Oryctolagus cuniculus: one gene and its partner. The protein of the gene in region 1 interacts with the protein of each later gene in a pairwise test. Links are inferred from orthologs where the notes say so. Each region holds a gene or a part of one and is shown in the gene's direction. Other genes may lie near its edges. The genes, in order: SRSF11 and HYI.

Region 1 (15,961 bases):
CGGCCAGCGCACCGCGGCCAGCGCACCGCGCTGATCCGATGGCAGGAGCCAGGTGCTTTTCCTGGTCTCCCATGGGGTGCAGGGCCCAAGCACCTGGGCCATCCTCCACTGCACTCCCTGGCCACAGCAGAGAGCTGGCCTGCAAGAGGGGCAACCGGGACAGAATCCAGCACCCCGACCGGGACTAGAACCCGGTGTGCCGGCGCCGCTAGGCGGAGGATTAGCCTAGTGAGCCGCGGCGCCGGCCTAATATTTTTATTTATTTACAATAATTGTTTTTATTAAATATATTTAAGTCCTGGTTAGTAAGATTTTTTTTTATAAATACATGAAAATTAAGCTTTAACTTGGCTGAATTATAACTATATTTGTGAAGAATCTAAGAAAGGAAAGGAGACTCATTTAAAAATCTAACAAGTAAATAAAAAAGCAAGAGCCGGCGCCGTGGCTCAATAGGCTAATCCTCCACCTTGCGGCGCCGGCACACCGGGTTCTAGTCCCGGTTGGGGCGCCGGATTCTGTCCCGGTTGCCCCTCTTCCAGGCCAGCTCTCTGCTATGGCCAGGGAGTGCAGTGGAGGATGGCCCAGGTGCTTGGGCCCTGCACCCCATGGGAGACCAGGAAAAGCACCTGGATCCTGGCTCCTGCCAGGATCAGCGCGGTGCGCCGGCTGCAGCGGCGGCCATTGGAGGGTGAACCAGCGGCAAAAGGAAGACCTGTCTCTCTCTGTCTCTCTCACTGTCCACTCTGCCTGTCAAAAAAAAAAAAAAAAAAAGCAAAAGAATAAGAACAACACCCTTTTCATAGCTTGTTTTACGAGAAACACTTCATAGGCTTCTACACCTGGAAAGTGAGATAACTCAAAAGAACCTAATAACTTCAGTAGACTTCAACATTGTGATTATAAGTGATCACTTTAAGATACAAGGACATATCTAGAAAATAAATTAAAATAGTAAAGAAATTGTTAGAATAACTCCTGAAGGGAATAATGTTCCTATTTGATGATTTTTAAGTGCAGATTCCTTTTCTTTCAAATGTAGATAAGAAAGAAGAAAAAAGAAGGCATTCAAGATCAAGATCACGTTCCAGGAGGAGGAGGACTCCTTCATCTTCTAGGCACAGGTTAGATTGTTTCTTACAATCACTTGTAATTTAGACAAAGATAATTTCTGTATGCACCTTCTTTAATTGCTGTAAAGCCACTACTTCCTGGTTAAAGTATGCTTCAGTAACAGTTGATGTTAACAGTGTGAATTTATGTTGGCATAAAAGGGGAAAAGATGCAGACTAAATAAATAAATTAAATCCAAAAAAATAGGTGGTATGATGAGTTGGTGCTATGAAAAGAATTTTGACTTGAATTCTAGACAATCTAAGTCTGTTAAATTGAGATTTGTTCAAATTTAGAATATTTGCAAATAATTCTTAAGATTATACTTAGTATTACCAGACAAGCTTACAGTATCATTCTTTTACTTATCTGGAGTAGAAGTAGATTGGCATCCCTTTGTGAATAAGGTTCTCTGGCCAACAGGCTCTTTAGAGTTGTAAAAAGATATATGAGAACTGTGTCAAGCAGTGAGTCACATCGGTCCGTGTTGATCATATAGAAATTAGAACTCATTTGAAATAATAGGGCTTTGAAGCAAAAATTTTAATGTATTTTTTCCCCAGGCAGGATTTCTGAAAGCAAGCATTGGTCATTTGGAAAACAAGAGATTCATTGCATTATAAAAGTTGCCAAATACTTACATTTATCTGTTCCTCAGTAGCAAAAAATATGGTACTTGATAATAGCACTGCATATCTCAGAAAAACTGAAGTGTTGGGAAACTTTAAATATAAATTTGTCATAAAAGCACAAGTTTTTATTACTGGCAGCAAATTTGGTTGTTTTCCTTGATATAATTTACCTCATTCATTTTTCAGGAAAATGTCTGCTAAGTAGCCAAGTTTAAGTAACCAGTTTGTTGTTTCTTGAAAGTGGTATTCATGAAAAAGCAACTAATTCAACTCACAACTTAATCACACAAATATCTTTCTTGATAGAGCCATCTAAAGTGATCTATAATTTCCATTTTATTGGAGATGTTACTCAAAAGGCTAACATTAATGTTGCTACTACTTTAATAGTATGCAAAGAACTAGATTTAATGAAATTAACTGCCTCATCAAAGCCACCTTTAGGGTCTGGTGATGTGGCATAGCAGGAATGCCAGCATCCCATATGAGCACCAGTTTGTGTCCCAGCTGCTCCACTTCCAGTCCAGCTCCCTGCTAATGCGCCTGGGAAAGCAGTGGAAGATGGCCCAGTGTTTAGGCCCCTGTACCCACATGGGAGACCCAGAAAAAGCTCCTGGCTCCTGGCTTTGGATAGGCCCACCTCCAGCCATTGAAGCCATTTGGGGAGTGAACCAGCAGGTGGAAGACCTCTTTCTGTCTCTTCCTTGCCGCTCAAATAAATAAGTAAACCTTAGAGAAAAAAAAAATGGTATTTGGGCCCTGCCACCCATGTGGAAGACCTCCATGAAGCACCTGGCCCAGCCCTGGCCATTGTGGACATCTGGGAAGTAAACAAGCAGATGGAAGTTCTCTCTCTCTCTGTCAACTGTGACTTTTAAATAAATAGACAAAATCTTATACATAACACTCCTTTAGTGAAAGTGATTTTTTCCTAGCTCAAATGCATTCAGAAACACAGATGACTACTAGCACAGTTTTGTTGCCACAGTCTTAATTTGTGATGAGGTGATGCCATCATTTTTAACTACCATTCTTTTGCATCACTAGTGAAAATGATGTCAACACACTGACAAAAGCATATAATACACTATTTTTAAAATAATTTTGACTTTACAGACCCCATAAAATCTTGGAGTAGTCAGAGTTCCTTAGCCACAATTTGATAACCGTTACTCTGTTATTCATCACCAACTGTTGCAGTGGTTTCTTGTTTTACTTGATTTCTAAACTCAATCCAGGTTGCTTGTAATTGCATTATAGTTGTAGAGTGGCATTCAGAACTAGAATACTCCAGCTGACCTCAGTTACTTCAACTAGTTTTAGATTCATTTTCCATATTTCCACCATTTGACTTTTCTTTTTAAGATTTATTTATTTGAAAGGCAGAATTAGAGGGAGAGGGATGGAGGGAGAGGAGGAGAGAGAGGTCTTCCATCTGCTGATTCACTCCCTAGATGGCCACAACGCCAGAGCTATGCTGATCTGAAGCCAGGATCCAGGAGCTTCTTCTGGGTCTTCCACACGGGTACAGGGGCCCAAGGACTTGGGCCATCTTCTGCTTTCCCAGGCCATAGCAGAGAGCTGGATTGGAAGAGGAGAGTAGTTGGGACTCGAACCAGCGCCCAGAAGGGATGCCGGCACTGCAGGCCAGCAGCCCCCACCATTTGACTCTTAAACTTTTTTTTTTTTTTTTTTTGGGTATTCTTCATCTCCTAGCTGATCTCATCTGAAACATATTTCTATCAGTTGTCTGCTTTCTCATAACTTCTTTTACTATCTTGGTTCTTCTTAACAATTTGTCATAAGTAGTTCCAAATATACCCTAAAATAAGAGATGATAAAAAAAGTTTATTTAGTTCAGTACAATGGGCTTTGAGCCAGTTGTTTTAGAGAGTTACAGCAATTGAAGCCTTTTACTGCATTAGTAAGAGGAAGAGAGTGTTGAATGTCATACATTTCTGCATGAAGGCACTGAGTTGTACTCTGTACAAGTGAAAGGTGCTATTTTTATGTAATAGAGATAAATGAAGTAACAGGATCAGAGAGATTAGATAATACTCCAAGTAACTTGGTTTATAAATAAAAGTTGAACACAATTCCATTTCTAGAACTTCTCGACTCTAGTACCCTGAAAATGAAAACATGTAGAAAGTTTAGGTATATTTGAAATATTCCACAGAAAGGACTTGAATGGTCACTAAAAATTAAGATATCAAGACTAAGCAAAAGATTGAGAATAACAAAGACTTGAAGGAGGAGGGCCGGTGTTGTGGCACTGGCACCACATATGGGTGCCGGTTGGAATCTCAGTTGCTCCAGTTCTGATTTAGCTCCCTTCAAGTGCTTTGGCCCCTGTACCTTCATAGGAGACCAGAGAGAAGTTTCTGGCTCGTGACTTTTGCCTTGCCCAGCCCCAGCTCTTAGGCCATTTGGGGAGTGAACCAGTAGATGGAAAATCTCTCTGTAACTCTTGACTTTCAAATAAATAAAACCTTTTAAAAGGGGGTGGAGGTGGGGGGTAGGGAAGAACAGTGACAGCATCTATAGGTTAAATGTGCTACTGAAGTTCTTGGAAAACCAAGAAGTGTTTATTGGATGGTTCCCCGGGGATGAGGATGATTAAAAAAAACATTTCCTTTCTTTGATGTAATGGAAAAGAGGATGGTATAGAGACTGTAATGTTGATGAGAAAATGAGAGTAAATGAGGCAATTTGTACATGATTAGAGTTTTTTAGACTATGGATATAAAAAGTGGAATTTCAAAGAACAACAGTTAGAAATAGTAAATGATAACATACTAAGTAGTTTGCATCTATAAAACAGGAATAATAATGGGACTTACTTTTTTTAGACTTCATGATTGCCTATTTGTCAAGCACATAGTAAGCGTAAGCATTTGATACTTGATAAATAAGGTTTAACTTGAGCCGGCGCCGGCACACCGGGTTCTAGTCCCGGTCAGGGCACCGGAATCTGTCCCGGTTGCCCCTCTTCCAGGCCAGCTCTCTGCTGTGGCCCAGGAGGGTAGTGGAGGATGGCCCAAGTGCTTGGGCCCTGCACCCGCATGGGAGACCAGGAGAAGCACCTGGCTCCTAGCTTCGGATCAGCGTGGTGCGCCGGCTGCAGCGCGCCAGCCACGGCGGCCATTGGAGGATGAACCAACGGCAAAGGAAGACCTTTCTCTCTGTATCTCTCACTATCCACTCTGCCTGTCAAAAAAAAATAATAATAATAAGGTTTAACTTGCAGTAATAATAAATAAAAGATGTTTTTCAGTATTGTACGGTTATAGAAAATGGTGCAATATCTTTCTTTTGTGTGTGTGTGTGTGTGTGTCATATAGTAGTAGTTTTAACTTTGGAGTTCTTGGTTCATTGGGTATGAGAGGACTGGTCTGACAAGTTGACCAATACAGTAAAAAAGAGGAGAAATTCTAAGTATTTAAAGGTATTGTTGCTGCTAGCATTGTGGTGTAGCAGGTAAAGCCACCACCTTCTAGTCCAGCATCCCACATAGACATCGTGTCCTGGCTGCTGCACTTCTCATCCAGCTTCCTGATAATGGAAAAGCAGCAGAGGATGACCCAAGTACTTGGGCCCCTGCCATCCACGTAGGAGACCCAGAAGCAGGTCAGGCTCCTGGTTTTGGCCTGGTGCAGCCCTGGCTGTTGCAACCATCTGGAGAGTGAACCATCAGATGGAAAATCTCTCTCTGTTTCTAACTCTGACTTTGAAATAAATAAATCTCTAAAAAAAAAAGTATTGAGATTGCAAGGTTTTTTGTTGTTGTTGTTGTTGTTGTTTAAGATTTATTTATTTGAGAAGCAGATTTACAGACAGAGGGAGAGACAGGTCTTCCATCTGCTTCTATCCCTAAATGGCTGCAACAGCTGGAGCTGAACCAGTCCAGAGCCAGAAGGTTCTTCTGCGTCTCCCATGTGTATGCAGGGATCCAAGCACTTGAGCCATTGTCCACTGCTCTCCCAGGCCATCAGCAGGGAGCTGGATTGGAAGCAGAGTATACAGGTCACGAACCAGTGTTCATATAGGATGCCAGCACCAACATGTTTTTTATATGGAAGGGAATATTCCCACTTAATTGGCAGTTAATTCATATGTCTGGGACTAAGTGAAATGTTTATAACTTAATATATCTGTTGGCTTCCTTTTACACATTTAGGCGATCAAGAAGCAGATCAAGGAGGCGATCACATTCTAAGTCAAGGAGTAGACGACGATCCAAAAGTCCAAGACGGAGAAGATCTCATTCCAGAGAGAGAGGTAGAAGGTCAAGGAGCACATCAAAAACCAGGTATAACAGACTCTTGACATTGGATAAGAAGAGAACTTTTAGAATTGCCAAGAACCCAAATACTGTGCTACTTAAATTACAAAAGAGGCAAGGAATTTTGGGAAGTTAAAACTAGACAAGAATTTCTTCCATTCCATTCAACTACTGCAAAGGATTTATTGCTGCCATGCATTTCTTGTATTATACTCAGAAGAAAAACTCTATATGACCATATGTAATATATTTGTCCTTGTATATCCCAGTAATCAATGAGTTCAAAGCATTTATTAAGTATCTTTGTTTGCCAGAAACTGAACCATACTAGAATATCTCTTATCCCATAATTTGGGACCAGTAGAAGGTTAAAATGAGGATTCATTAAAGCAGGTCCCCCACATTAATGTTTGATTTTTACTTAAAACATACTTCCAGTAACCAGTCTTTTATACAAAGTCAGTTGTTTTTAATTAGTATGACTACTGAATGTTCAGCCTATAATAGGCTTTTCGTTGTATATTAGTCAATCTCATTAGGCTAATCAAAACGAAGTTGCTTAAAGAAATGATTATCATAAAAAAAGAATTCAACATTCTTTCCCTTAAGAATATTCTGTTTATTGTTTATTTGGAGAGTGTGATAAAATTAAAAAGGAACCACTGTTAGGTGATGGTTGCCACTTGGCTAATGTTGTTGGAAGGGGCTTAATTGAGAAGTGACTCCTGAGTATTCAGTTTGCATCCATTTAAAAAGATTCTGTGGGGTGCATAGTTTCAGGTAGAGAATGGTGTTTGCAATGTTAGCATGAGTTTTTGAAATGGTGAATATTTCTATATAGGAGAACCAGTAAATAAATTCAGTGTAAGGAGACAGATCATAGAAAGGGTTGTTTTCAGACTGTGTTTGCACGTGATCCTGGAGGAAACTGGAATGGGAATAAACAGAGTATCTTGAAATTAGGCGATAAGTACTTGGAAAAACAGAAATGATCATTGAACAGGATGGCCAGTAGAGGAAGCAATGAAACAGAGAACATAGGGTGGGAAGAATGGCGTGAAGTAACAGAAGGAATACTTTGATCTCTAAAATTATGGAATAGGGAGCCGGCGCTATGGCACAGCAGGTTAAAGCCCTGGCCTGAAGCACTGGCGTCCCATATGGGTGCCGGTTCTAGTTCCTGCTGCTGCTCTTCTGATCCAACTCTCTGCTATGGCCTGGGATAGCGGTGGAAGATGGCCCATGGCCTTGGGCGAAAAAATGTTGTTTCAATAAAAACAAGTGTAAAGGAATCCAAAAAGAATTGAGTTGAGGATAATTTTAATACTAGTTCATTACAGTAGCACTGAATAGTCCAAGAGTATATAGCATCAAAACAAGGTGGAAGTGGGGCAGGCATTGTGCTTTAGCAGGTTAAGCCACCTCTTTTAATACCCACATCCTGTAATATCATGTGCCAATTTGAGTCCCAGATACTCTGCTTCCACTCCAGCATCGTGCCAGTGCACTGGGAAGGCAGCAGATTATGGCCAAGTATTTGGGTTCCTGTGATCCACGTGGGAAACCTGTATGAAATTCCCAGCTCTGGCCTCAACCTGTTTCAGCCCTATCTGTTGAAGGCATTTGGGGAGTGAACTAGATGATGGAAGAGATTTTTCTTTCTCATTTTGCCTTTCAAATAAATAAATTTATCTTTTTTGGGGGGTGATTATGTTTCTTGTTTTATGAAATACCTGTTTATTTCTTTTGAGCAGTTCTTTTTTTTTTTTTTTCCCAATGGGTCACCCCCCAGTGGACGCTCCAGCGGCGCGCAGCCGCCTGCGCACCGCGCTGCTCCGAAGCCAGGAGCCAGGAGCTTCTCCTGGTCTGCCATGCAGGTGCAGGGCCCAAGGACTTGGGCCATCCTCCACTGCCCTCCCTGGCCACAGCAGAGAGCTGGCCTGAAAGAGGGGCAACTGGGACAGAATCTGGCGCTCCCACCGGGACTATAACCTGGCGTGCCGGCGCCGCAGGCGGAGGATTAGCCTATTGGGCTAGGACAGCGGCCAAGGGTCTGTTTTGTTTTGTTTTGTTTTGTTTTTTAAGATTTATTTTTATTTATTTGAAAGACAGTTACAGAGAGAGGTAGAAACAGAGAGGTGTCTTCCATCCGCAGGTTCACTCCCCAGATGGGCGCAACCACCAGAGCTGTGCCGATCTGAAGCCAGGAGCCAGGAACTTCCTCCGGGTCTCCCACGTGCGTGCAGGGGCCCAAGGACTTGGGCCATCTTCTGCTGCTATCCCAGGCCACAGCAGAGAGCTGCATCAAAAGAGGAGCAGTCAGGACTCGAATTGGCACCCATGAGGGATGCCGCCACTTTAGGCGAGGGCGTTAACCCACTGTGCCACAGCGCCAGCCCCCAATAAATTGATCTTTAAAAAACTAACACAAAGATAGAATGGCTTCATCTGTGACAGAAGTTAACTTGGGCTGTATGTTTTACAAGAATATTGATGATGTGAGTGATTTTGGTAATACATTATGGGTTTTGGACTGATAGTGGAGGTGGTTAGAGAAAATGGTAAAGTCATCTGAGAAAATAAGAGACTGTTAAAGAGCCTCAAGACAATTATTAAAACTGTTGATGTTTAGCATCAAAACACAAAGAAATTAGGCAAAATCCTAGTTTCTTTCTCAAGACATACAGTATATTTGTACATTGGAAAGATGTCTTGAGTAAAACACCAGGAAAACGGAATTTTATTTATTTTATTTTTTTAAGATTTATTTATAGGCAGGCACTGCGACTTAATAGGCTAATCCTCCACCTGTGGCACCAGCACACCGGGTTCTAGTCCCGGTCAGGGCGCCAGGTTGTGTCCCGGTTGCCCCTCTTCCAGGCCAGCTCTCTGCTGTGGCCTGGGAGTGCAGTGGAGGATGGCCCAAGTCCTTGGGCCCTGCACCCACATGGGAGACCAGGAGAAGCACCTGGCTCCTATCTTCAGATCAGTGCGGTGCACCGGCCACAGCGGCCATTGCGGGGTGAACCAACAGAAAAAGGAAGACCTTTCTCTCTGTCTCTCTCTCTCACTGTCCACTCTGCCTGCCTGTCAATTAAAAAAAAATATTTATTTATTTCTTTGAAAGAGTTACACAGAAAGAGGAGAGGCAAAGAGAGGGAGAGGTCTTCCATTCACTGGTTCACTCCTCAGTTTGCCACAGTGGCCAGAGCTGTGTCGATATGGAGCCAGGAGCCTCCTCCATGTCTCCCACGTGTGTGCAGGGGCCCAAGGACTTGGGTCATCTTCTACTGCTTTCCCAGGCCACAGCAGAGAGCTGGATCAGAAGCGAAGCAGCCGGGTTGAACCGGTGCCAAAAGGAAATACAGGATTGTTTGGTGCAAAAAATTAAAGGATGGATGCCCTAGCAGTGAATACATTTCTTGTGATAAACATACCCTGTGTTGGAGTGCTTGGATTTATATCCTGGCTCCATTCCTGATTACAATTTCCTGATAATGCATACCCTGGGAGGTAGCTGTGATGGCTCAGGTAACTCTGGATTCACTTTCTGGCTCCAGGCCCAGCCCTGAATACATGCAAGCATTTGTTAAGTGAGCCAGCAGATTAAAGCTCGCTCGCTCTCTCTCTCTCTCTCTCTGCCTCTAAAATAAACAAAAAGCTGAATTCCATAGTTGTTTCATAATGCACATTTTCCATGAACTCTTAGAAGATCTGTCTGCATGGATTCACAGTTTTACACCAAAATAACTAAAACTTTAATTCAATTTTTTCATAACTTTTTGAACCCCACCTTTGCCACATGAACTAGTATCTCTAAAAATACTTTCTATCAGAATTGTAAATCATGCTTTTACAGGTGTTATTAGACATAATTTTGCTTTTGTTTTGATTTGTAGCACTATTTAAATTGCAGTTAACAGAACTTTGTAATGCCTTCTTGAATTGTGCTTGTTGATTTATTAGAGACAAAAAGAAAGAAGACAAAGAAAAAAAACGTTCCAAAACACCACCAAAAAGTTACAGTACAGCCAGACGTTCTAGAAGTGCAAGCAGGTAAGACAGAATTATGCATTCTTCACTTTTTGAAAAATGTTTTATTTCAGAATAATTTTAAATTTATAAAAATTGTGAAGTAATAATGTAAATGGTTCTGAAATATCCCTAACCAAACTTCCCTTATTATTTACTTTCCATATTAGCATGTTTGTCATAATTAATGAGCCCACACATACAGCTTCCCCTGTTTTGTTTTTATCTAAACTGCATCTATCCTTCTTAACCTTCCTAGCCAACATTCTCTGTTCAGGTTGAATTGAGTTTTTTGTTACTCAGTTTTAACTTTTAAGTATAAGGGAGAATATGTATGTCTTTTATGTCTGGCTAATTTTACTCACATGATGCCCTCCTGTTCATCCATCTACTTACAAAAAAATCACAATTTCACTATTTTTATGGCTAAATTATATTCCATTATATGTACTACTTTTTTTTATCCATTCATGTGATGACAGACACCTTGGTTAATTCCATAAATTGACTTGTGATGAATGAATGATGAATTAGGCATTTCTTTGATGCACTGATTTATATCTTTTGGATATATACCCTGTAATGCTAGATCATATGAGAGTTTTAAGGTTATTTATTTTATCTGAAAAGCAGAGTTAGAGATTTTCCATCTGCTGGTTGACTCCCCAAATGGCCACATCAGCTGAAGCTGGGCCAGATCGAAGCCTGGAGCCAGGAGCTTAATCTGGGTCTCCAATGTGGGTGCAAGGGCCCAAACACTTGGGCCATATTCACTGCTTTCCCTGGCCATCAGCAGGGAGCAGGATTGGAAGTGGAGCATCCAGGAATTGATCTGGTGCCCATATGGGATGCAGGCGGCAGCTTAACCTGCTATACCATGGCACCGGCCCCTAAAGAAATACCGTTAATAGATGACTGAACCAATTTACATTCCCACTAACAGTGAATGAGAGTTCCTGTTTCAGGCTGGCATCGTGATTTAATGGGTAAAGCTGCCACCTGCAATGCCAGCATCCCACATGGTCATTGCCTCATGTCCCAGCTGCTCCACTTCTGATCCTGCTCCAGGCTAAAGGCCTGGGAAAAAGTAGCAGAAAATGTCCTCAGTGTTTGAGCCCCTATCACCCACATGGGAAACCCTTATGAAGCTCCTGCTTTGGTGTAGCACTGCCCTGGCCATTGTGGCCATCTGGGGAGTGAACTAGCTGATGCAAGATATCTGTCTCTATCTTTCTGATTTTCAAATAAATAATAAAATTTTTTTAAGAATTCTTCTTTCTCCACATCCTCACCAGCAGGGGTGAGATGGTACCTCATCATGATTTAGATTTGCATTTCCCTGATGACAAGTGATATTGAGCCTATTTCTTCTATTTGTTGGCTATTTATATTTCTTTCGGCAACTGTTCAGGTCCTTTTCTCATTTCTTGGCTGGATTGGTGGTTTTGTTGTACAGTTTGTGAGTTCCTGGTATATTCTGGACATTAACCTTTTGTCAGATAAGTAGCACAAAAATATGTTCTCCCGGATACCTGTTCACTATTGATTTTTTCCATGTTTAGAAGCTTCTGAATTTAATATAATCCTATTTATCTAGGTTTGCTTTGTTGCCTGCACTTTTGGTATCTTACTCAAGAAATCATTAGTTACACCAGTGTCTTGAACTCTTTCCCCTATGTTTTCTTCTAATATTTTTGTAGTTTCAGGTCTTATAATTAGGTTTTTGACCATCTTGAGTTATGTATGTGTTGAGAGGTAGGGTTCCAGTTTGATTCTTCAACATATGTATTTCCAGTGTTGCCAACATTTATTGAAAAAACTGCCTTTTTTTCCATTGTATGTTCTTGGCACTCTTGTCAAAAAGCATTTGGTTCTATTTACATGTGTTAGCTTTAGAGCGGTGTATTCCATTGATCTCTTTGTGTTATTGCAATTTTATAGTGTCCTTAGAAATCAGATAATTTGATGCCTTCAGCTTGATTTTTGTGTGTGTGTAAGTAGGATTGCTCTTGCTATTCTGAGTCTTTCATGGTTCCATATCAATTTTGGCATTGTTATTTTATAGTTCTATAAAGAATATCAATGGTATTTTTATAGGAATTGCCTGGAATTTTTAGTAAGATGTACATTTTAATGAAATTCTTTCAATCCATGAGTAGAGAATATCTTTCCATTTTCTCTGTGTCCTTGTTGATTTCTTTTATCAATGTTTTGTAATTTTAATTGTAGAGATTTTACTTCTTTGGTTAAGTTTATTCTTTATGTTTAAATTTTTTTTAGTTATTGTGAATGTGATTTCTTTTTTGACTTCTCTTTTTAGCAAATGGTGTGTAAAAATGCTACTGTTTTTTATGTTTATTTTGTATCCTGTGACTTAAATGAATTAGTTTATCTCTTCTAGCAGCTTTTTGGTGGAGTCTTTTAAGTTATCCCATGTTTAAAAGAAAAATGGATATTTTGATTGTCTCTTTTCTAATTTTGATGCCCTTTATTTCTTTCCCTTGCCTAATTCTTGATGTTAGTATTCCCAATACTACATTGAATAAGGCTGGTGAAAGTGGATATCCTTATCTTGTTCCAGATTTCAGGGGGAAAATGCTTTCAGCTTTTCCTATTCAGTATGATACTGGCTGTTGGTTTGTCATTTATTGATTGCCTTTATCGTTTTGAAGTAAATTCCTTCTGTACCTAATTTTTTGAGGATTGTTTATCATGAAGAGATGTTCGATCTTATCAGATAGTTTCTTTGCATCTGTTCAGGTGATCAAATGGTTTTTGTTTTTTGTGTTAACATGATTTAGGGCATTTAATGATTTGGAAATGTTACATGACTGTGTCTCTGAGAAATCCTGTGTGACTATAATGTATGATCTTTTTGCTGTGGTGTTGTATTTTGTTTGCTAATATTTTGTTAAGAATTTTTTCATCTGTATTCAGCAGCTATGTCATTTTATTTTACCTTTGGATTTGATATCAGAGTAATGCTGGCCTCATTAACAGAGTTCCATCATTTTCAATATTTTGTGGTTTGAAGGGTATTGGAGTTTTGTAGAATTCAACTTTAAAGCCATCAGGTCCTGAATTTTTCTTTGATGGAAGAGTTTTAACTACTTTTTCAACCTCCTTATCTGTTACATGTCCGCTTACAGTTTCTGTGTCTTGATTTAATCTTGGTAGGTTGTGTGTTATGTTAATGGGGATATATTCATTCTTTGAGATTCCTCCCCACCCCCCTTTTTTTTTTAAGCTTTGCTCATTAGATTATCAGTCTGTGAATGTGAACTGTTTTCCAGACCTTAAATATTTCAGTGTTGAAAATACTTTGACTCTGTCTCTATTGGAAGTTTTTCTAGGTCAGTTTATGAAGAAAAACCTAAAGTTCATCTTTGTTTTTACCTTATATCAATGTGTAGAGTGTATTTGAAATAACATGGAGTTCAACAGAGGTCAGTTTTTTTTAATCTTACCCAGTTAAGTTTTAATGATTAAAGGATAGTGAACTGTTACATTAAATTACATTGATAAATTGGAAGACAATGCAAATTCTTTTTTTAAAATATTTATTGGAAAGTCAGAGTTACACAGAAAAGGAGAGGCAGAGAGAGAGAGAAATCTTCCATCCACTGGTCCACTCCGCAGTTGACCTCAATGGCTGGAGCTGTGCCAATCCAAAGCCTGGAGCTGCAGGGGCCCCAGGACTTGAGCCATCTTCCACTGCTCTCCCAGGCCATAGCAGAGAGCTGAATTGGAAATGGAGCAGCCAGGACTCAAACCAGCACCCATAGGGGATGCCAGCATTGCAGGCAGCAGCTTTATCCGCTATGCTACAGCGCTGGCCCCTGACAATGCAAATTCTGATTTCTGTCATTTGTTAGACTAAGGCTGTCTGACTACTTTCTATATCACAGCATTATTGAATTACTCTGTTATACCTGTTCTGTCCACTGAATGTTTAAATCTGAAACTGATTTCTTCAATAATGGGTTACTTCTGACTTTTTCCTCTTTGGTTTAGGATATTTGTTAATAAGTCTTTTTTCAAGTTTAATATTTTGTCAGAATTTCTTTAAGAACAATTGCCAGAAATTAGAGGTGCTCTTGAGCAGTAAAGATGGAAAAGTGCTCAGTTTGCAAGTGTCTATTTTACAACAGTTGTTTCATTAGAAGCATGTTGTAGGGATTCTTAGTGAAGCTGAGATCATACTGTATTTTAAAGCATAGTGTGTTCATTTGTGATTTTAGAGATAGACGACGACGACGAAGCAGGAGTGGAACAAGATCTCCTAAAAAACCCAGGTCTCCTAAACGAAAATTGTCTCGCTCACCATCCCCTAGGAGGTAAAAATGTCTTATCATTTAGCTCTAGCCTTGTATTTTTCAGGAATTTTCAGTTTTTTAAATTGTCTCATAGTTTTTCTTTTCTAGGATTAAAATGCTTAAAATGTCTTTTACTTGAGCCTTGGAGGAATGCACACTCTGTAGGATTGGGAATTTTAGTGTTTTGAAATTGGACCTTTGCTTTCCTATATTCATCTTGAGAATGCTGGATCAGACTCGCCATCTATACAAGTTATGTTTCTATACTTCAGGGTGAAACCTTGAGCAGTTCCTTTGAATCATTTTGAGCACATTTTATTTTAATGTCATTCTAGACATAAAAAGGAGAAGAAGAAAGATAAAGACAAAGAAAGAAGCAGAGACGAAAGGGAACGATCAACAAGCAAGAAGAAGAAAAGTAAAGATAAGGAAAAGGAACGGGAAAGAAAATCAGAGAGTGATAAAGATGTAAAAGTATGTTTACAAACTAACTTATTTAGGTATTTGGGGCGGTGTTGGTACTTACAAGAAGTGTTTCTTCTTTGAAGAAGTTTACTTTTATTATTCTCCTTGGCAAAGCAGGTTACACGGGATTATGATGAAGAGGAACAGGGATATGACAGCGAGAAAGAGAAAAAAGAGGAGAAGAAACCAGTTGAAGCTGGTTCACCTAAAACTAAGGAATGTTCTGTGGAAAAGGGAGCTGGTGATTCGCTAAGAGAATCCAAAGTGAATGGGGATGACCATCATGAAGAAGACATGGATATGAGTGACTGAATGCTGCCTCTTTGGGACTCCAACTGTGTACATGCATCAGTGTCATTCCTTTGTGTGATTTCTTAATGCTGTATTTGTTCATCTCAAACCTAGATGTATACAGCTGAGTTATAAATGGTTATAAAGCTTCTGACATTGATATTAGTTATTTACATCAAAAAGCTTTTAGAAAAATGGTACATGGGTAAACAATTCTTGTCATGGTGAAATCTGACTGAGTAAGCAGTTTTACTATTCTAGTGCTGCTTCTTAAATACAAATGAAAAGCTGCATGCATCTACAGCAGGCATGGATTGTTTATGTTGTATGATCTCCTTTCTTAAGTAAGTTCTCTTAGAGTATTTCTAGAATTTGATTCATTGCCATAATAGAGCCATGTAGGGAATGCACTGATTGCATGTTACTGTGGCAAGAATATCCTAAATGTCATTAAAATCTTCCAACATGATGGATCTACTTATGGTCTTGTTTGTTGACATGACAAATTAACATTGTTAGATTACATCTGGAAATGAGCATTTGAGATAGATAATCCTTTGAGCCTTATGGCTAAATTTTTGTGGCTTTCGTTTAACTTTGAAAGGTTGTCTGTATATGCACTAACCTTTTTTGATGGCTAATTAGGCTTTAATTACAGAAATAAGATTTCAAATAAAACTGTCTTTGGCAGTGAGTAAATAGCTTATTTTGAAGTAGAGTTGTATACTTTTTCATAAGGTGTTTGGGGATTTTTTTTTTTTTTCTGAAATAATTTATTCCACGTCTACATCAGTGAAAGCTCTCCAACTATTCGGAGTTCATCTGTA
Region 2 (16,455 bases), about 27 Mb from region 1:
CTGCCTCTCCTTCTATGTAACTCCATCTTTCAAGTAAAATAAATAAATCTTTAAAAAAATACAATTTAAAAAAATATTTGGTCCCTGCCACTCACTTGGGAGACACGGATTGAGCTTCTGGTTTCAGCCTGGTCCAGCCCTAACTGTTGTAGTCATTTGAGGAGTCAGCTAGTGGACCACGAGAGATCTCTCTTTTTGTTTCTCAAGTAAATAAAAAATTAAACATAATAAAAGCTCCTTTCAGGGACATTCTGTTATTAAGAAAAAAGTGACAGGCCTACAGGAACGAGAACAATATATATAAAAAATATATATTATGTCTCTGTAATATGGATATTTAAGGAAAGCTTTCCTACATATGTTGTTAAGTGGGAAAAAAAACAGCTGCAAAAACTTGTGTACAACACCACGAATAACATTCACGGGTGTAAAAACTAAACATAGAGAGGATGGAATTCTGTTGTCAGGGTTACTGGGATTTTTCAAAATTATAAACTTAAAAACGTAACAAGTTCTGTGCTTGAAACAGGCACACACTGGCTGTATGGAACACAGTGTAGTTTACATGTGACGATGCGCATTTGACCGAGCAACTGAAATGCTGGGGGCTTGTAGCCGTACTGGGGGCCTGGGCTCAAGTCCAGCCCATCCTCCCATCCAGCATCCTGCTGATGCTCATCCTGGGAGGCGAGAGGTGACAGTGCAAGTAACCGGGTCCTTGCCACCCACAGGGGACCCAGGTGGGCTGCCCCCTCACTTTGACCTAGTCCAGTCCCTGCTGTTGTGGGCATTTAGGGAGCAAGCCAGCAGACGGGAGAGCTCTGTCTCCTCTCCTCTCCTCCCCTCCCCTCTCCTCTCCTCTCCTCTCCTCTCCTCTCCTCTCCTCTCCTCTCCTCTCCTCCCCTCTCTCTCTCCCCCCTCTTCTCTCTCTCTCTCTCTCTCTCCACTTCTCTCTCACTCTCTCTGTCTTTCAAATAAATAAAGCTTGCAAGTGGCCGGTGTCTGATTAGTTTCTTGTAGTTAGCACTGCCAGGATCCTCTACATGTTCTAACAGCGTGTCTACGTGAGGGAGGGCATGGGTTGGGTTCTGGATGTGATCCAACCACTCAACAACAGAACAAAGAGAAAGGGCCAGCTCTAGGAACCTCCTTTTAAAGATAATGGTGTATAGCAAGGATCAGCAAATATTGTAATATTCTTCCAAGAACAGAGGTGATTGCTCATGCAAGCACCAATTTTGTAAAATGATTCAATGCTGTTTTGTATAATGATGTTATTATTCAATGTACTGTGTGAGAGACGGTTCTGTTTAAATGTGCTGACATCTTACTTAGAGTCCCAGTGTAGATGTACTGTGGAAATTCCTGTAGGAATGCTTGGGTACAATAGCAACCTATAAGAGAAAAAATTTCTCAAGATTTAGTTTCCTTTTTGACACTGTTACAAGCTGTCACGAATCCCTGTGATATGGGCTATTACTGGTAAAATTGAGTCAAGTAGCAAAGTTAAATTCTGAAGCCTTAGAAATGCAGGCTCAATGGCTCAAGAAATAACAATAATGGGGTGGCACTTGAATGTTGATATTCTGAAATCCAGGCCGCTGCTGCGGAACACATGGCTGTGTGAAAATATATGGCACGATGTGTGGGATCTGATTTGAGCAAAATGTAAAAATGTTATGGAGAGCCTGGTGGTTCAATCAGAAATTAAATGGAGAAGAAGATGCCTGGGGCCAGCACTGGGGTGCAGCAGGTTTGCTTGCGATGCCTGCACCCCTTATCAGAGTGCTGGTTTGAGGTCTGGCTGCTCTGCTTCCAATCCAGCTCCCTGCTAATGCACCTGAGAAGGCAGTGGAGGAAGGCCCAAGCACCAGGGCCTCTGCCACCCATCTGGGAGACCCGGATGGAGCTCCTGGCTCCTGGCTTCTGCGTGGCCCAGCTGAGGCTGTTGCAGTCATTTGGGGAGTGAACCGGTGGATGGAAGATTCTTTCTCTGTCTCTCTTTCAAATAAACAAATAAATTGTAAAAAAGAAATGCTGATGCTCTTATATGACTATAGAGCAAGAGTTTAATGCAGGTTGGGTGAAATAAAAAACATTAGCCTAAACTCATGACTTTGAAAGACAAAGATCCCTCTTGGACTCTAAGTGGCTGTGAGGGCACTCAGCCTCCCACTAGGAATTTTCGGAAACTGTTTGAATGCGTGCCACGAGGGAAACGGGGATCCCCAGCATCCCAGGGTTCAGGTCCTCCTGCTGCTTTTTTCCAAAAGAACCAAGTATTTCCTGCAATGTGCCCCAGGCTGGGTCTTGGCATGGGAAGAGCAGGCTGGATCTGAGAGCTTTTGATTTTGGAAAGGATTAAGACGCAGCAAGAACGCTGGCTGGGTTGACTCCCCTGCAGAGGCCCCACGTACTGAACACAAAGCCTCCCCTGGGTTCCCTTTGCCACTTCTCTGTGGGCCTTAGCCACTCGCTGTCCGGCTCACTGGAAGGAGAAAAGAGGGCACAGGTGTGGGACAGCCATTGCCTACGACAGGTGCTATGGTCGGCCCATTAATCCAGCAGCAAAGCTCCGAAGACAGACACAGCAGGTGGCAGCACCATTCGCACCTGAAGTGGAGACAGCAGTGAAAGCAGCAGGGCCCCCCAGTTCCCCCAAACACAGGAGCTGCTCCCAGAAGTACAAGGAGCTCGTCTATTCGTCATGCATTGCTGCCAACAACCCGAACGTCACACTTCAGACCACACAGCCTGACTACAAAGAGTTCCTGTGGGTTGGGGAGCCAGAGGTAGTTTAGCTGGGTGTGCGTCACTCAGGATCTCCCACGAGGCTGCGACCAGAGTGTTGGCCGGGGTGCAATCGTTTTAAGACTCACCTCAGGCCCACGCCGTGGCGCAATAGGTTAATTCTCTGCCTTGCGGCGCCGGCACACTGGGTTCTAGTCCCGGTCGGGGCGCTGGATTCTGTCCTGGTTGCCCCTCTTCCAGGCCAGTTCTCTGCTGTGGCCCAGGAGTGCAGTGGAGGATGGCCCAAGTGCTTGGGCCCTGCACCAGCATGGGAGACCAGGAGAAGCACCTGGCTCCTGCCATCGGATCAGCGCGGTGCACCGGCCACAGCGCGCTGGCCGCAGCAGCCATTGGAGGGTGAACCAACGGTAAAGGAAGACCTTTCTCTCTGTCTCTCTCTCTCTCTCTCTCACTGTCCACTCTGCTGTAAAAAAAAAAAAAAAAAAAAAAAAAAGACTCACCTCGGGGAAGATGCGTCTCTCAGCTCATGCATGTGGCTGCTGGTGAGGTTGTGGGCCCTTGCCAGCAGCTGGCCATGTCCTAGTCAGCCTGGGCTGCGTTCTGCATCAGCCGAGTGGCTTAAACATTGGGAGTTTGTGTCTGGGAAATCCAAGGTCAAGGTGCCTGTTGTTTCGGTTCCTGCCCGGTAGATGGTTGCTTCTCCCCGTGTCCTCACACGGCAGAGAGCAGGAGGAAGAAAGTGAGCTGTGGTCTCCCTTCCTCTTCTTACCAGGACACGGGTCCCCTCTTGGGGTGCCACCTGCTGGACCCCGTCTAAAGCTAACCACCCCCCAAGCTCTACCTCCAAATACCATTACAGGGATGTGAGGCTTCAACATGTGACAGCCAGGACACCGTTGCTTGACACAATGGTCCTTCCATAGGCGTGCTCACACGAGGCAGCTGGATTTCCTTGGAGAAGCTGAATGAATGACTGAGAGAGGGCACTGGAGACAGAGGCCACCGCCTTCTCGTACCTTAAACTCTGAAGTGACATTGTGAGGTGGGAGAGGAACACGACCAAGCCCAGCCCCTCCCAATCTAATTCTGTATCCGTCTCCAGCTCCAAACCAGTCGGGAGCAAGGCGCCTCCAGACCCTAAGTGCAGAAGACCCCCTAACTGCTCTGTTAGGGACTTTCTGACCTGCATGCATGCCCAGAGTGACCCAGTGTGGTGGTGGGTGACCTTCCAGGGGTGGCAGTAGTGGGCAACACCACCGTTTTGAGTGTGCTGTGTGCAAGAACAAAATAAAAACAAAAGCATGGTTGGTTGCAGCAAAGTGCCCTATGCCAAGGGGGAACTGCCAAGCTCCCCCAATTCCATAAAAGTACCTGTTCAGCTCTTTTTTTTTTTTTAAAGTCATTTTCCTTTTTTTTTTTTAAAGATTTATTTGTTTACTTTAGAGGCATAGTTACAAACAGAGGAAAAGACACAGAGGGAGGTCTTCCATCTGCTGATTCACTCCTCAAATAGCTGAACAGCAGGAACTGGGCCTATCAGAAGCCAGAAGCCAGGAGATTCTCCCATGTGGGAGCAGGGCCCCAAGCACTTGGGCCATCTTCTACTGCTTTCCCAGGCCATCAGCAGGGAGCTGGATTGGAAGCAGAGCAGCCGGGACTCAAACCAGCACCCATATGGGATGCCGGAGCTGCAGGCAGATGCTTAACCTAGTAAGCCACAGTACAGGCCCCCCTGTTCAGCTCTTGATGGGGATGGGTAGGTGGCTGTGTTGTGTCCCTTGCATGGGAGCATAAGCCCCAATAAACTGTGTCTGGCTGCAGGTTGGCCTCTTGTCAGTTATTTGCAAGTGAGTCAAAGAACCTGGGCTCGAAAAAAAAATAAATAAAATAAAAATAAATAAATAAATAAATAAAGAACGAACCTGGGCTCGGTAACAGTTTTATCATTCTTTTTTTAAAGATTTATTTTATTTATTTGGAAAGCAGAGTTACCGAGTGAAAGGGAGAGACACAGAGAGAGGCATCTTCCATCTGCTGGTTCATTCCCCCCAAATGGCCACAACAGCCAGGGCTGCGCCAGGCTGAAGCCAGGAGCCTGGAACTCCATCTGGGTCTCCCATGTGGACGGCAGGAGCCTGAACCCTTGGGCCGTCTGCTGCTGCTTTCCCAGGTGCATGAGCAGGGCGCTGGAGCGGAAGTGGAGCATCAGGAAGCAGAGCTCATATGGGAGGCCAGCATCGGCGGCGGTGGTGTAACTCACTGCGCCATAACGCTGGCCCCAACGCTATCACTCTGCCATGTTCTGTCTGCCAGAAGTGAGGCACGCGGCCAGCTCGCACTCAAGGGGAGGGCAGTGTCCAGGGGCAGATACACCAGGGAGCAGAGCTCGCTGGGACCGTTTTCTAGGCTATCTGTAGTAAGTTCTGAGAAGGTAACACAAGAAAAGACCTCCGTACTGCGCTGGGGCGCGTTGAGCCTAAACATCTGCAATTATCGGGGTGAGGACTTGGTGCAATGTTTAAGCCTCCAGTTGGGTTGCCTGTGCCCCATCCTGGATGGCTGGGTTCAGGTTCCTGGTTCTGCTCCCAGTTCTGACGTCCTGCTTATGCACACCCGGGAGGCGGCAGCTGATGGGTCCTTGTCACCTACACGGGAGGCATGGATTGAGCTCCCTGCTACCGGCTTCAGCCTGGCCCAGCCTTAGCCATGGCAGGCATCAGGGAAGTGAGCCTGCTGATGGAAGCTCTCTCTGCCTGCTGCTGCCTTTCGGCTTCTTCTTGGACAATAATTTGGAAAAGCAATAATTATAGCCCAAACTATACAGACGACACAAACAAGCTGAGTCTGCAGGAAAAACCTTGCGACTACGATGATAGCACTTGAGAATGTTAATATAAAACGTGCTAGCAGGTGGTGGAAATGCACACAGAAGGCTTAAAAAGTTTGTTTTTATTGACTATGGGACAAATACGTAAAGTGGTATTTATAAAATACATGCAAGCCATAAAAGAGAGTGGTAAAATTAGGCTGCATGACTGGGAGAAGGGATGACAATGACTTTGGGAGGTGCTGACTTGCCCTTCCCGCACCCTGCAGGGGTCACCATCGTGCCACGTTGTGCTACCACAGACCTTTGCAGCGCCAAAGGTTTCCTTGCCCTTGGCCTTCCACAGATGCAATCACGTGCATTTCTGTGCGATTTACTGCCTTCTCTCACGACTGTGTTTCTGAGGTTTATCCATCGGGATATCTGAGGTTTATCCATCTTCATCTGAAGTTTATCCATCTGATGTCTTCACCATGATGTTTTCAATTTGAGCCAAACCTGACTAAACTCCTCACCCACTGCGCTGAGACAAGAGCAGATGCCGCCTTATCATTTGTGCCACCAGTCTTCCTGGTCACCTCCAGCTACAACACTGTATGACTACAACTCACCCATGTGTCTACTGTTGGACATCTGGGTTGCTGCCAGCTGGGGCTGGCACTGTGGCGTAGCGGGTAAAGCTGCTGCCTCCAGTGCAGGCTTCCTATATGGGCATCGGTTCGAGTCCCAGATGTTCCACTTCCGATCCAGCTCTCTGCTATGGCCTGGAAAAGCTGTAGAAGATGGCCCAAGTCCTTGGGCCCCTGCACCCGCGTGGGAGACCCAGAAGAAGCTTCTGGCCTCAGATCAGCGCAGCTACAGCTGTTGTGACCAACTGAGGAGTGAACCAGTGGATGGAAGCGCTCGCTCTCTCTCTCTCTCTCTCTCTCCCTCCCCTTCTCTCTCTGTGTAACTCTGCCTTTTTTTTTTTTAAAGATTAATTTATTTATTTGAAAGTCAGAGTTACAAAGTGAGAGGAGAGGAAGAGAGAGAGAGGTCTTCCATCTGATGGTTCACTCCTCAATTGGTTGCAACAGCTGGAGCTGTGCCAATCCGAAGCCAGGAGCCAGGAGCTTCTTCTGGGTCTCCCACGTGGGTGCAGGGGCCCAAAGCCTTGGGCTATCTTCTACTGCTTTCCCAGGCAATAGCAGAGAGCTGAAGCAGAAGTGGAGCAGCTAGGTCTCGAACTGGTGCCCATATGGGATGCTGGTGCTTCAGGCCAGGGTGTTAACCTGCTGTGCCACAGCGCCGGCCCCAACTCTGCCTTTCAAATAAATAAATAAATCTTTAAAAAACATTGCTGCTATGAACATCACTGAATCTGTCTCCTGGCACATTTGTGGCCAAGTTTCCTGCAGGAACATTCCTGGGAGAGGAACTAGTGGATGCAGGTACGTGGGCTTTCAGAGATGATGCCAAAGTGTTTTCCAAACTGGCTGTGGTGGTTCACACTCCCACCAGCAGTGAGTGAATAAACATCTCAGTTGTTCCAAATCCTATCCGATATTTGATAGTGCCTGCCTTTTTTATTTTTGCCAATCTTGAAGATATAAAATGCAGTCTCAGTGAGGTTTTGATTTGCACCTCACATGGGTGAGTGTATTCAGTGGCCAGGTGAGACTCTGAACTCTATACTCAAGTCTTCAGCTATACATTGTTGTCACCTTAACATTATGTTTGAGCAAATTCTTCAGTTGAGAGTTAAAGGCAGGGGTCATGGTTGTGGTGCATCCGGTGGAGACCCTGCTTGCAACACCAGCATCCCATATGGGCGCTGGTTTGAGTCCCAGCTCCACTTCTGATCCAGCTCCCCGCTAATGTGCCTGGGAAAGCAGTGGAAGATGGCCCACGTCCTTGGGCCTCTGCTACCCACGGCGGGGATCCAGATGGCATTCCAGGCTGCTGGTTTTGGCCTGGTCTGGCCCCATTTGGGGAGTGAACCAGCAGATGGAAGATCCTGCTCTTTCTCTGTCTCTCTGTTCTTCAATAAAATGCAAATAGATAAATTTTAAAGAAGAACAACAGCAACATTCAAAAGCCAATGCTTTCCACGGATACTGAACGTGTCCATTTATTCTGGTGTATTGTGTGAAGGTGTTGTGAAGGGATTGAGGGGGCAGTGAGCGGTGAGCCCCTCGTCTGTGCACCATCTCCACTGCACAAACGAAAGGGTTTGACCCCTGGAGGCTGAACGTGTCCCTGACACAGAAAGTAGCAGACAGGGCTGCTTTGAAAGGCTTAAATAGAAACTGCTTACTAAGAGATGTATAGGGGAGGGTTAATAAAGGCATTGCTCCTCCTAGCTGTTAGTCGGCACTGGCAATTTTGCATTGTAACTATGCTGAAGTCGGGATGGATTGAAATGTAACAAGGTGAGGTCACATCCTCATTGGACTACACCCAGGAAGCTGGTTCCAGGACAAGCCAAAGTTCCAAGTACGAAGTCAGCTGCACGTGGGCAGGCAATCAGGTGATCAGACGAGCTGGTGGCCGTCTGTTCTTAGGGGTGGAACTGAAGAAATGGCACCTGCCAGCGTTGGGATTAATTATAGGATCAGCCTGGACCCTAGATGCTCCAGTGGGCTTGACTTGGGCTGGAGTTGGGCAGGGGCAGGATAAATTGGGTGCTAGTGCTGGGTGCTGTTACTGTGTGCTTTGACCTTCTCTCTGCCAAAGTTAGCACAGAAAATAAACCAAGATGACTTCAACTCATGGATTGTTGGAGTATAAGCCTACATTTTTGCAAAGCAATTTATAACAGCCATCAAGAGCTGAAAAAGATTCCCCATTTTTTGACCATGGAATGCTACCTGTAAGAATCTGCCTGCTCAGTTGGGTTATTGTAGATTAAAGCAAATTCATTCAAATTATCTTAAGAAAGGCTCTACAGAAACCTAGGAAAATGCAAGCATCCAGCCTCAGGAAGTGCAGGCTGGGGGTGGCTGCGGGCACAGCGGGGGTTCTCAGGCTGTGCCTCTGCTCCCAGGGCTGCCATCTCTCTGCTCTGGCTTTTCTTCACCATCTGACTCTTGCTTCTGAAGCTGCCACGGCCCCAGTCAGGCCCCAGTCACCTTCCGGCAAGATCACCTCTTCACTGGACTCTCAGCATCTCCTGGTTAACTCTTGAGAGCGGAATCTGATTGGCCAATCTTTCCAAACAAGGCAAGCAAGACTCTCCTGGCAGTCTCTGGGTTGGCTGCCCTGGGACCAGATGTCCTCCAGTGGTCCAATGTGCTCAGGCTCAGGGGGCCTGCCCACAGTTGCTTAGTGAGGTGGCCAGCGGCAGGCCCAGGTGTCCACATAAATGTCAAAGGCTGTGGACAGGCAGACACTGTGATGGACATCTCCAGAAGAGGAAACTAAGACAAAGAAGGGGACCAAGAGGTGCATGGACGTGTTCTTCTAGAGCGCGCGCGCGCGCGCGCACGTGTACACACACACACACACACACACACACACAGAGTGCCCGTCTACTGTGATAATTACGAGCTGCCTACAGTGATGGCTTTTTTAAAGAATACTAAAGAACACGGGAACAAGGTCATAAAATAACATTACAAGAAAAAAAAAGGCAACAAAGCTGCACATACAGGATGATCAGAATTTTCTAAGAAAAAAATTGCACATGTACTTTTTAATCCGTATGGGAAAGCTAACGGGTTAGCTGTGCGGTAAGGGACGGTATAAAAGTTCTTTGTTTGGTGGCACAGATCTCATTTTTATAATGGGGACATTATACACGTTCAGCCACGGCAACTGGTCCCTGGGGCGCCCGGCTGTCTGTCTCCCCACGGGCCCCGCCCCTCTCGCTCGCCGCGCCCCTCCCTGCCCCCACCCCAGCGCCTTTCTGGCGGCGCCAGGCTTCGGCTACCTCCGTGCGCGGCCCGCCGGCTTCCGCCTTCCGGTCGGCGCGCGGACTCTGGCCGGCCCATGCTCGCACCATGGCTCCGCTGCGCTTCTCCGCTAACCTGTCCTGGCTGTTCCCCGAGCTGCCCGGCCTTCCTGCGCGGCTCCAGGCCGCCGCCCGCTCCGGCTTCGAGGCGGCCGAGGTGGCCTGGCCGTACGCAGAGGACCCCGAGGCGCTGGCGCGCGCGGCCAAGGATGCCGGGCTGCGGCTGGTTCTGATCAACACGCCCCCGGGTGCGCTGCGGGGCCCGGCAGGGCGCGCGGGCCGCGCGGGTGCCCGAGCTAGCACCGAGCCGCTTTCTCTCCGCAGGAGACCAAGAGAAGGGGGAGATGGGGCTGGGGGCCGTTCCCGGAAGACAGGTGGCCTTCCGAGAGGGGCTGGAGCAGGCCGTGCTGTACGCCAAGGCCCTGGGCTGTCCTAGGTACCCTGCCCCCGCCCCTCCCCCTTGGTGACCTGACCCTGCCTCGGGTCGAGGTCGGGAGCTGGAGGGGCGGGGTGGGGCTTGACAGCGCCCACGTCAGAGCGCCCCGGCCCTCACCCCCTCCAGACGCGGTCCTTCTGTATTTTATCTGTCGTGTGCTGTCCCGTTCACCACTTTTGTGTCATCCTATGCCGGGGTGCGGCTCAGTCAGTCCGGGGAGATAGCAACATGTCCAGGGCCCACAGGAAGCTGTGGGAGCAAGGCAGGCACCTGAGCTTGTCTGGGACCAGAGAAAGCTGCTCGGGGAAAGAGGGCCCTTGGCCTGAGTGGCAGGTCAGAGAGGCAAGAGGAAGCAGTGAGGCTGGGGAAGCCGTGAGGCTGGGGATTGGTCTGGGGTTGGGAGAGCCTGGAGCTTCTGCTGCCAGATGCCTGTGGCTGAAAAAGACAGGTGGCGATGGGGAGAGAGGTAGAAGGCGTAAAGGGGCTGGGCCCACCAATGTCACCTCCTACAGAGGTCACACAGGCTGAGCAGAGGTATCCTGGTGACACAGGGGCACTACTGGGGCATGAGGGGAAGGAGAGGAAGCAGGCAAGCAGCCAAGAAGGGCGAGGTCAGGATGGCTTTTAAAGATGAGACCCAAGCCTGCTTGGGAGGACCTGGGGATGGGAGGTTGAAAGCAGAGGGGGTGAGAAAGGATAGACTTCCAGGGGTTGCCGGGAAGATGTCTGGGAAAGGCCTGGGCCTCAGGCCGACACAGGAGTGTCTCGGGGCTCTGGGCCGGACTGCATGCTCACGGAGATGGGTGAGCCAGCATACCCAGAGCTGTCCTGGCAGCGCTGTGTGGGGAGCCGAGGGAGGGAAGGCTTCTGGTCCCATCTGCCCCCAGGGTTCACCTGATGGCTGGCCGAGTACCGCAGGGGGCTGATCGGGCAGCAGTCCGGGAGGAGATGGAGACGGTGTTTCTGGAGAACCTGAGGCATGCGGCTGGGGTTCTGGCCCAGGTGAGACGAGTGGAGACACATGTAGACATACTGCGTGTGTACTGGAGCGGGTGTACAGTGGGGAGAGCACACGAGGCAAAGGCAGGCGCTGGCCAGCGAGAGGCTGGCAGGGGCAGCCTTGGGGAGCAGCTGTGCTCACGGCATCTGACACGGTGCCAGGAGAACCTCGTGGGACTGCTGGAGCCCATCAACACCCGCGTCACGGACCCCCGATACTTCCTGGACACGCCCCAGCAGGGTAGGACCCCTGGCCCGCTCTGTCCCTTTTAGTCCCTGTGCTCTCTGAGTCTCATAGCCCCGGGCTCGGCTTCTCCCCCAGCGGCAGCCATCTTGCAGAAAGTCGGAAGACCCAATCTGCAGCTCCAAATGGTGAGTGGATGACGGGGAGTGCTGAGGGCCCACGTCCCCAGATGCGGAAGAGCAGGGCCTGACCAGTGCTCCGGTCTCCAGGACGTGTTCCACTGGCAGATCATGGACGGGAACCTGACGGGAAACATCCGCGAGTTCCTGCCCATTGTGGGTGAGGGTCCGCTTCCCAGTGCGAAGTCCTGTGCCCACCTTTCAGCTTCCCCTTCTGTCCCTCAGGCCTTGGTGGGAGCCTGGCCCCACATCTGCCCACATCTGTCCCCAGGCCATGTGCAGGTGGCCCAGGTCCCAGGTCGAGGGGAGCCCAGCAGCCCCGGAGAGCTGAACTTCCCCTACCTATTCCAGCTGCTGGAAGACCAAGGCTACCAAGGCTTTGTGGGCTGCGAGTATCGGCCCCAAGGTGAGGGGCAGAGAGGGGATCTGGGCATGCTCAGAGCCCTGGCGGGACAGGCAGTGCATGGGCCAGTTTCCCTCTCCCTGGGTAGAAATGCCACTCCCACTCCCTCCCGCAGGAGACACCGTGGAGGGTCTGAGTTGGCTCCGTTCCTACTGGGACAGGCGGGGCCGCCCACAGGCTGACCAGTGAGGCCCTGACACCACCCAGATGCCTCTCAGGGCCAGGGACTGAGAATCCCAAGTCTGAATTAAAGACGCCTGCTGACCATTTTCATGTGTCTGTTATGGGTCTGGGGGGAGGACACATAGTGTCTAACACTTCCGTTTCTCTTGTGTCCCCGTCCACTGAGGGGACGTGAGACAGCTCACACTGACTCCTCCAGTCGGTGCCAGGGCTCTGAGCGGCTGGGAGAGTGCTGGAGCCCATGTCCTTTACAGATGAGAAACCACGGGTCCAAGAGCAGAGGGGCTCGGTGGTGGTCCTGGGTGCTTCAAAGGCAGAGCTGGGGTTGGAACCAAGAAGGCTAAATGTCCAGGTCGAGAAGTGACGCCCAAGGTGGGCAGGTGGCCCACAGTGGTCAAGACTGGGCAGCAGGATTTAGGAAGGGGAGCTCTGCTGAGTGCTCACCACCTCCTGTGAAGAACCAACTCCCGGACGCCACCAGGGAGCAGGAAGGAGGAGTCCTCTTCTGGAAGGGCCCAGCGGTGATGGGCACCTCAGGCAGCTGGCCTGACCCTCTGGAGTCTGCGGCTGGGCAGCGGCTGTGCACGTTTAGGGCAGGCAGCCCTGAGCCTTCAGGGACACTCAGCTTCTCCTGCCATGGGCCAGAAGACCTGGTCAGTCCTGCCTCGGGGGCATTGCCCAGTTGTAGGATTCCAGTGGTGACTCAGCGCTGCCTCACAGGAGGCGGGTCCACAGGGTGAAACAGGCTGTGTTGATGACGGACTCCAGGTGGTGGTAGGTGGAGACCAGCTGGGCAGGGGGGCTCTCGCTGTCCTGGGACTGGACGGGGAAGGGCTCTCGGAAGACCACTGTCAGAGACTGTGGGAAACAGCGGGTGTGCTGGTCAGAGGAGGCTGTGGGTGGGGACAGGGAGCAGGGCTGGGGAAGAGTGGGTACCCCAACCTCAGCAAGCTCCCAGGTGGAGCACTTAGGGTACGGCCTCCCACTGGCTGAACCCCCTCTTCTCACCGTCTTTCCCAGGTGCGAGTCCAGAAACACTAGCACAAAACAGTCAGTGAACTTCTGGTTCAGCACAACCTGCAGTGAAGCACACAGGGGGCTGGGGTGAGGCCGCCCCACGGCAGGGGCAGGGGCAGGGGCCACAGCCTCCTGTGGGGCACCTGTGGAGACCTGCCCTCACCTGCACGCCTGTCACTCAGGCTCATGTTGCCAACGTGGACCTCTACCTGCACCCTCCCTGGCTTGCCAGCCTGTCTGCATCTCCTCAGGACGAGAGCAGCACTCGGGCCAGAGATGCTGTGCAAAGCCTGGCACACTGTAGCCAACCAAGGAAGGAGGGCTTGCCACCCTGGGCACAACCCAACCTTGTCACCTGCCTGCTCCTGGCTCTCAGCACTCTGGCCTCCTGTGGGCCAGTCCCCCTCCGTCCACCTGCTCCCTAATGCACAGCTACGTGATCGGTCCCGTGGCGACTTCTCTTCCCCAGCGCCACCCCCCCCCACCCCCCCACCAGTTCATGCTCCGCTCCCGGCTGGTTCTCTCCCCTGAGCTTCATCTCTTCTAGACGGTGAGGAGCCTCGTGGGCTCTCAACCTGACCCTGCTGTACTTGGCGCCGTTGCCCCCGACCCACTGCTGCTCAGTGTTCTCGCCACCCAAGGAGCACCCCCACCTGCCCCTGCCACCTGCACTGCTGAGCCTCACCTGACTGGCTGCAGCTTCACTACAGGGCTCTTTGTATATCTGGAAGTGAACGGGCCCATGTTGCAGGACCCCTCGCAGGCCCCGACTGCTTCCGCATTGGAAGGCTTCTCCACCTGCTCTCCTGGCCCCAGCGCTCGCTGGGTGCACCTCCCCACATGCCTGTCCACCACCGTCACTCCTGTCTAGAACGTGGGACACATCCCCAGCGATGCTGCCAAGATGCAGATCCTGAGTCTGTACGTGGAGTGGGACCCGAGAGGGACGCTGATGCTGCTGGTCTGTGGACCACACACTCTGAATATCGGCTTTAAGGCCCAACACATGCTTTCCGGTCCTCCACTTCTGAGCCCAGGTGCTAGGTTCTGTGTGCTCCGAGGGCTGTCAGTCCTGAGCTTGGCCCCGGAATCTGACGCCAGGGTTCAGGCTGTTGGTGAGCCTTTGTGGACAGAGTTCTTGGGTAATTCCCAACAAATCACCTACTGCAGCTCGATGCTCAGTGCTCCGAGGGTTTTATCCTGTTCCATGTAGGCCTCCCTGTGGTCAGCCTGGGGCTCCTTGAGGGGACACCTGTCACCTCACTTGAGGATTCCTGTTTCCCCCTTTCAGAGGTGCTCAGGGGGACTTACCAGGTACTGAGTTCCCAAGTCTGGACTCTGGAAATGGCGACAGCTCTGAGGGAAGCGGCTTAAGAGAACCTTGATCAGGCTCTGGTACCAGGAGACCGTCATGGACAGGAAGCAGTCCTGGGAGAGGGTGCACAGGCCTGAATGCTGTCGCAGTCCCCATGGAGACTCCTGTGCCCTCCATGCTGGCTGCTTGTGGAATGCTGGCACCCACCCCAGCCCTGTGTGGAGGCCCCAGGTCTTACCAGCTGGGGGTCAATGTCACCAATGGACTTGGCATGGACTGCTTCCAGGAGCTCCTCCAGCTCTGCCAGGGCAAGGCGACCTCCCAGCCGCAGCCGATCAGGCCCCGGAGGCTCCAGCAAAAAGAGGCGCTTCCAGAGGGTGTCCCGACGGCAGTGGCCTCCAGCCAGCCGGACCAGCTGTGACAGCCGTGCTCGTGCCATACCCACCTCTGCGGCCAGTGGTGGGAACAAAGGGGCTGCTCCAGAGGCTAGAGTAAGCCCTGAGGCCTCCCCGGGGCTGCCAGCTGAGCTCCCTGGAGCCTCAGGCTCGGGGGGCAGCCTGGGGGGCTTCCGAAACCGGCGCATGTCAGCAGTGAGTCTTGGGAAGAGCTCTCGTTGGCTGGTGAGCACCACGAAGAACTGCAGCCTGGGTGGGGAGAGGGGCGAGAGCAGTGATCAGGGCAAGAGCTGGGGGCAGGTGGGGCAGTGGGGGTATCGCAGGCGGGGATCTGCTGACCGCAGGACATGCCGCTCGGCCTCTCCTTGCTCCTCAAAGGGTGCGGCACAGTGACAGACGAGCAGAGACACGTCGAAGTCGTCCTGGTGGCGAAGTCCCTCGGAGTCCAGGTAGGAGCCAGAGCTACACGGTGGGCGGGATGTCAACCTCAGCCCTGTTCTGCCCCAGAAGACGTGCGTCTCCCTCCCTACTGCAAGCACCGCCCAGCCTCAGCCCCGGCAGCCTCACCTGTGCCATGCCGACACCAGGGCATATTCGTTATGCTCTGGGCCCCCTGGCCGGGCCATGCGCAGTGGCTTCATGTGGTAAGAGCTGGCGTGGTCAGCCACGTAGTTGTATAGCTGGTGGGCGGCGATCAGTGGTGTGGGCAGCTCCAGTGTTCCTGAGGGGAAGTTACAGGAGACAGCAGACACTGAGCCTGGGATGGGAGTAGCCAATGCCTTGTTTTCCTGGGGACACTGAGGTGGGATGAAAGTGGCTCAGAATAGAGGCAGGGTCCACATACTACAAAGTCCAAACTGTGACATGAAACTGACAGTGAAGAACCTCAGACGCAGGACAGAGCATGGCAACATGGTATGAATGCGACGAGGTGACTAACAGTAGGGGACCACTCCCCCTGGCGGGGGGAGACACCTGGTGGCCTATTCCTCTTCTGGCCTGCCCTTGGCACGAACCTTGGTAAATGTGATTGCGGCCAAAGTGGGGTCCATCAGGGTGGTGGGCCAGGAAGTGCCGCAGGAAGGTGGTGAGGTGGTAGCCGTGTCGCAGCACCAGGTGGGCGCCCAGCACGTGCTGGTGCACGAGGCGCAGGTGGAAGTCGTAGCTGAACGAGTGGACATGCATCAGGTCCCTCACCTTGTCGCACTCCTCTGTGAACAGCATGGACAGCTGGGGAGGTGGCAGCAGGGGACGATGTGAGGGTGTGTGGCACAGGTGGCCCCGCACACACTTCCCTCCTCCCAGGGGAGCCTCATGCCCCTTGCTGCTCCCCAGCAGAGTTCTCTGTGCCAGCACAATGGGTGGGGGATGCTCCCCTCCTCACATCTGCATCTTTCCCACTGTGCTCTAACTGTTCTGAGACTGGGCCTTCGGCTGGGTCTCGGGTTCCACTAGAGTGTGGCACGGACCCACTGACGCAGCAGGTATTTGCTGCGTATCTGCCGTGTCCCTACCAGCTATTGTTGTAGATGCCGGGGGTCCCTTGGGGAACAGAAACAAGCCCCTCCCCTCCAGGAGCACAGTCTAGTTGTGGGCGATGAGACGCATCAGACGAAGTGAGTCAGTTGCACAGAGGATGCCTCAGAAAATGGTGCTGGGGAAGATCAGGCGGTGGTCTGGAGGGCAGGGGGCGCACAGTTGCTGCAAAGCTCTTCCTGCTCCTTCCCTCCTCGCCAGCCTCATCTTCCCATCGTTCTGAAAGCTTCATCTGAACATGCCTGCCAGCGCTGGGCCGGGCATGGGGCAGGAGCTTCTGATGGAGATCACCTTTACTC

The links.
Region 2: the proteins of SRSF11 (region 1) and HYI interact in binary tests that used the Homo sapiens proteins (3 or more experiments, as listed by UniProt). The two-hybrid records come from large-scale screens. The link is inferred for Oryctolagus cuniculus from reciprocal best matches to the Homo sapiens genes SRSF11 and HYI.

Annotation. Positions count from the first base shown.
Region 1 is NC_091438.1:102,132,518-102,148,478, reverse strand, and holds part of SRSF11 (serine/arginine-rich splicing factor 11), read left to right. Parts: intron 1-1,042; coding exon 1,043-1,124; intron 1,125-5,925; coding exon 5,926-6,057; intron 6,058-9,996; coding exon 9,997-10,086; intron 10,087-14,303; coding exon 14,304-14,399; intron 14,400-14,713; coding exon 14,714-14,852; intron 14,853-14,957; coding exon 14,958-15,155; 3' UTR 15,156-15,961. UniProt on the Homo sapiens protein: May function in pre-mRNA splicing.
Region 2 is NC_091438.1:129,573,815-129,590,269, forward strand, and holds HYI (putative hydroxypyruvate isomerase), read left to right. Parts: upstream 1-9,159; 5' UTR 9,160-9,558; coding exon 9,559-9,757; intron 9,758-9,833; coding exon 9,834-9,945; intron 9,946-10,832; coding exon 10,833-10,947; intron 10,948-11,106; coding exon 11,107-11,185; intron 11,186-11,266; coding exon 11,267-11,316; intron 11,317-11,397; coding exon 11,398-11,467; intron 11,468-11,578; coding exon 11,579-11,713; intron 11,714-11,825; coding exon 11,826-11,899; 3' UTR 11,900-11,977; downstream 11,978-16,455. Other genes in the region: KICSTOR complex protein SZT2, read right to left, coding at 12,608-12,751, 12,902-12,970, 14,222-14,338, 14,464-14,869, 14,960-15,082, 15,188-15,341, 15,637-15,850. UniProt on the Homo sapiens protein: Catalyzes the reversible isomerization between hydroxypyruvate and 2-hydroxy-3-oxopropanoate (also termed tartronate semialdehyde).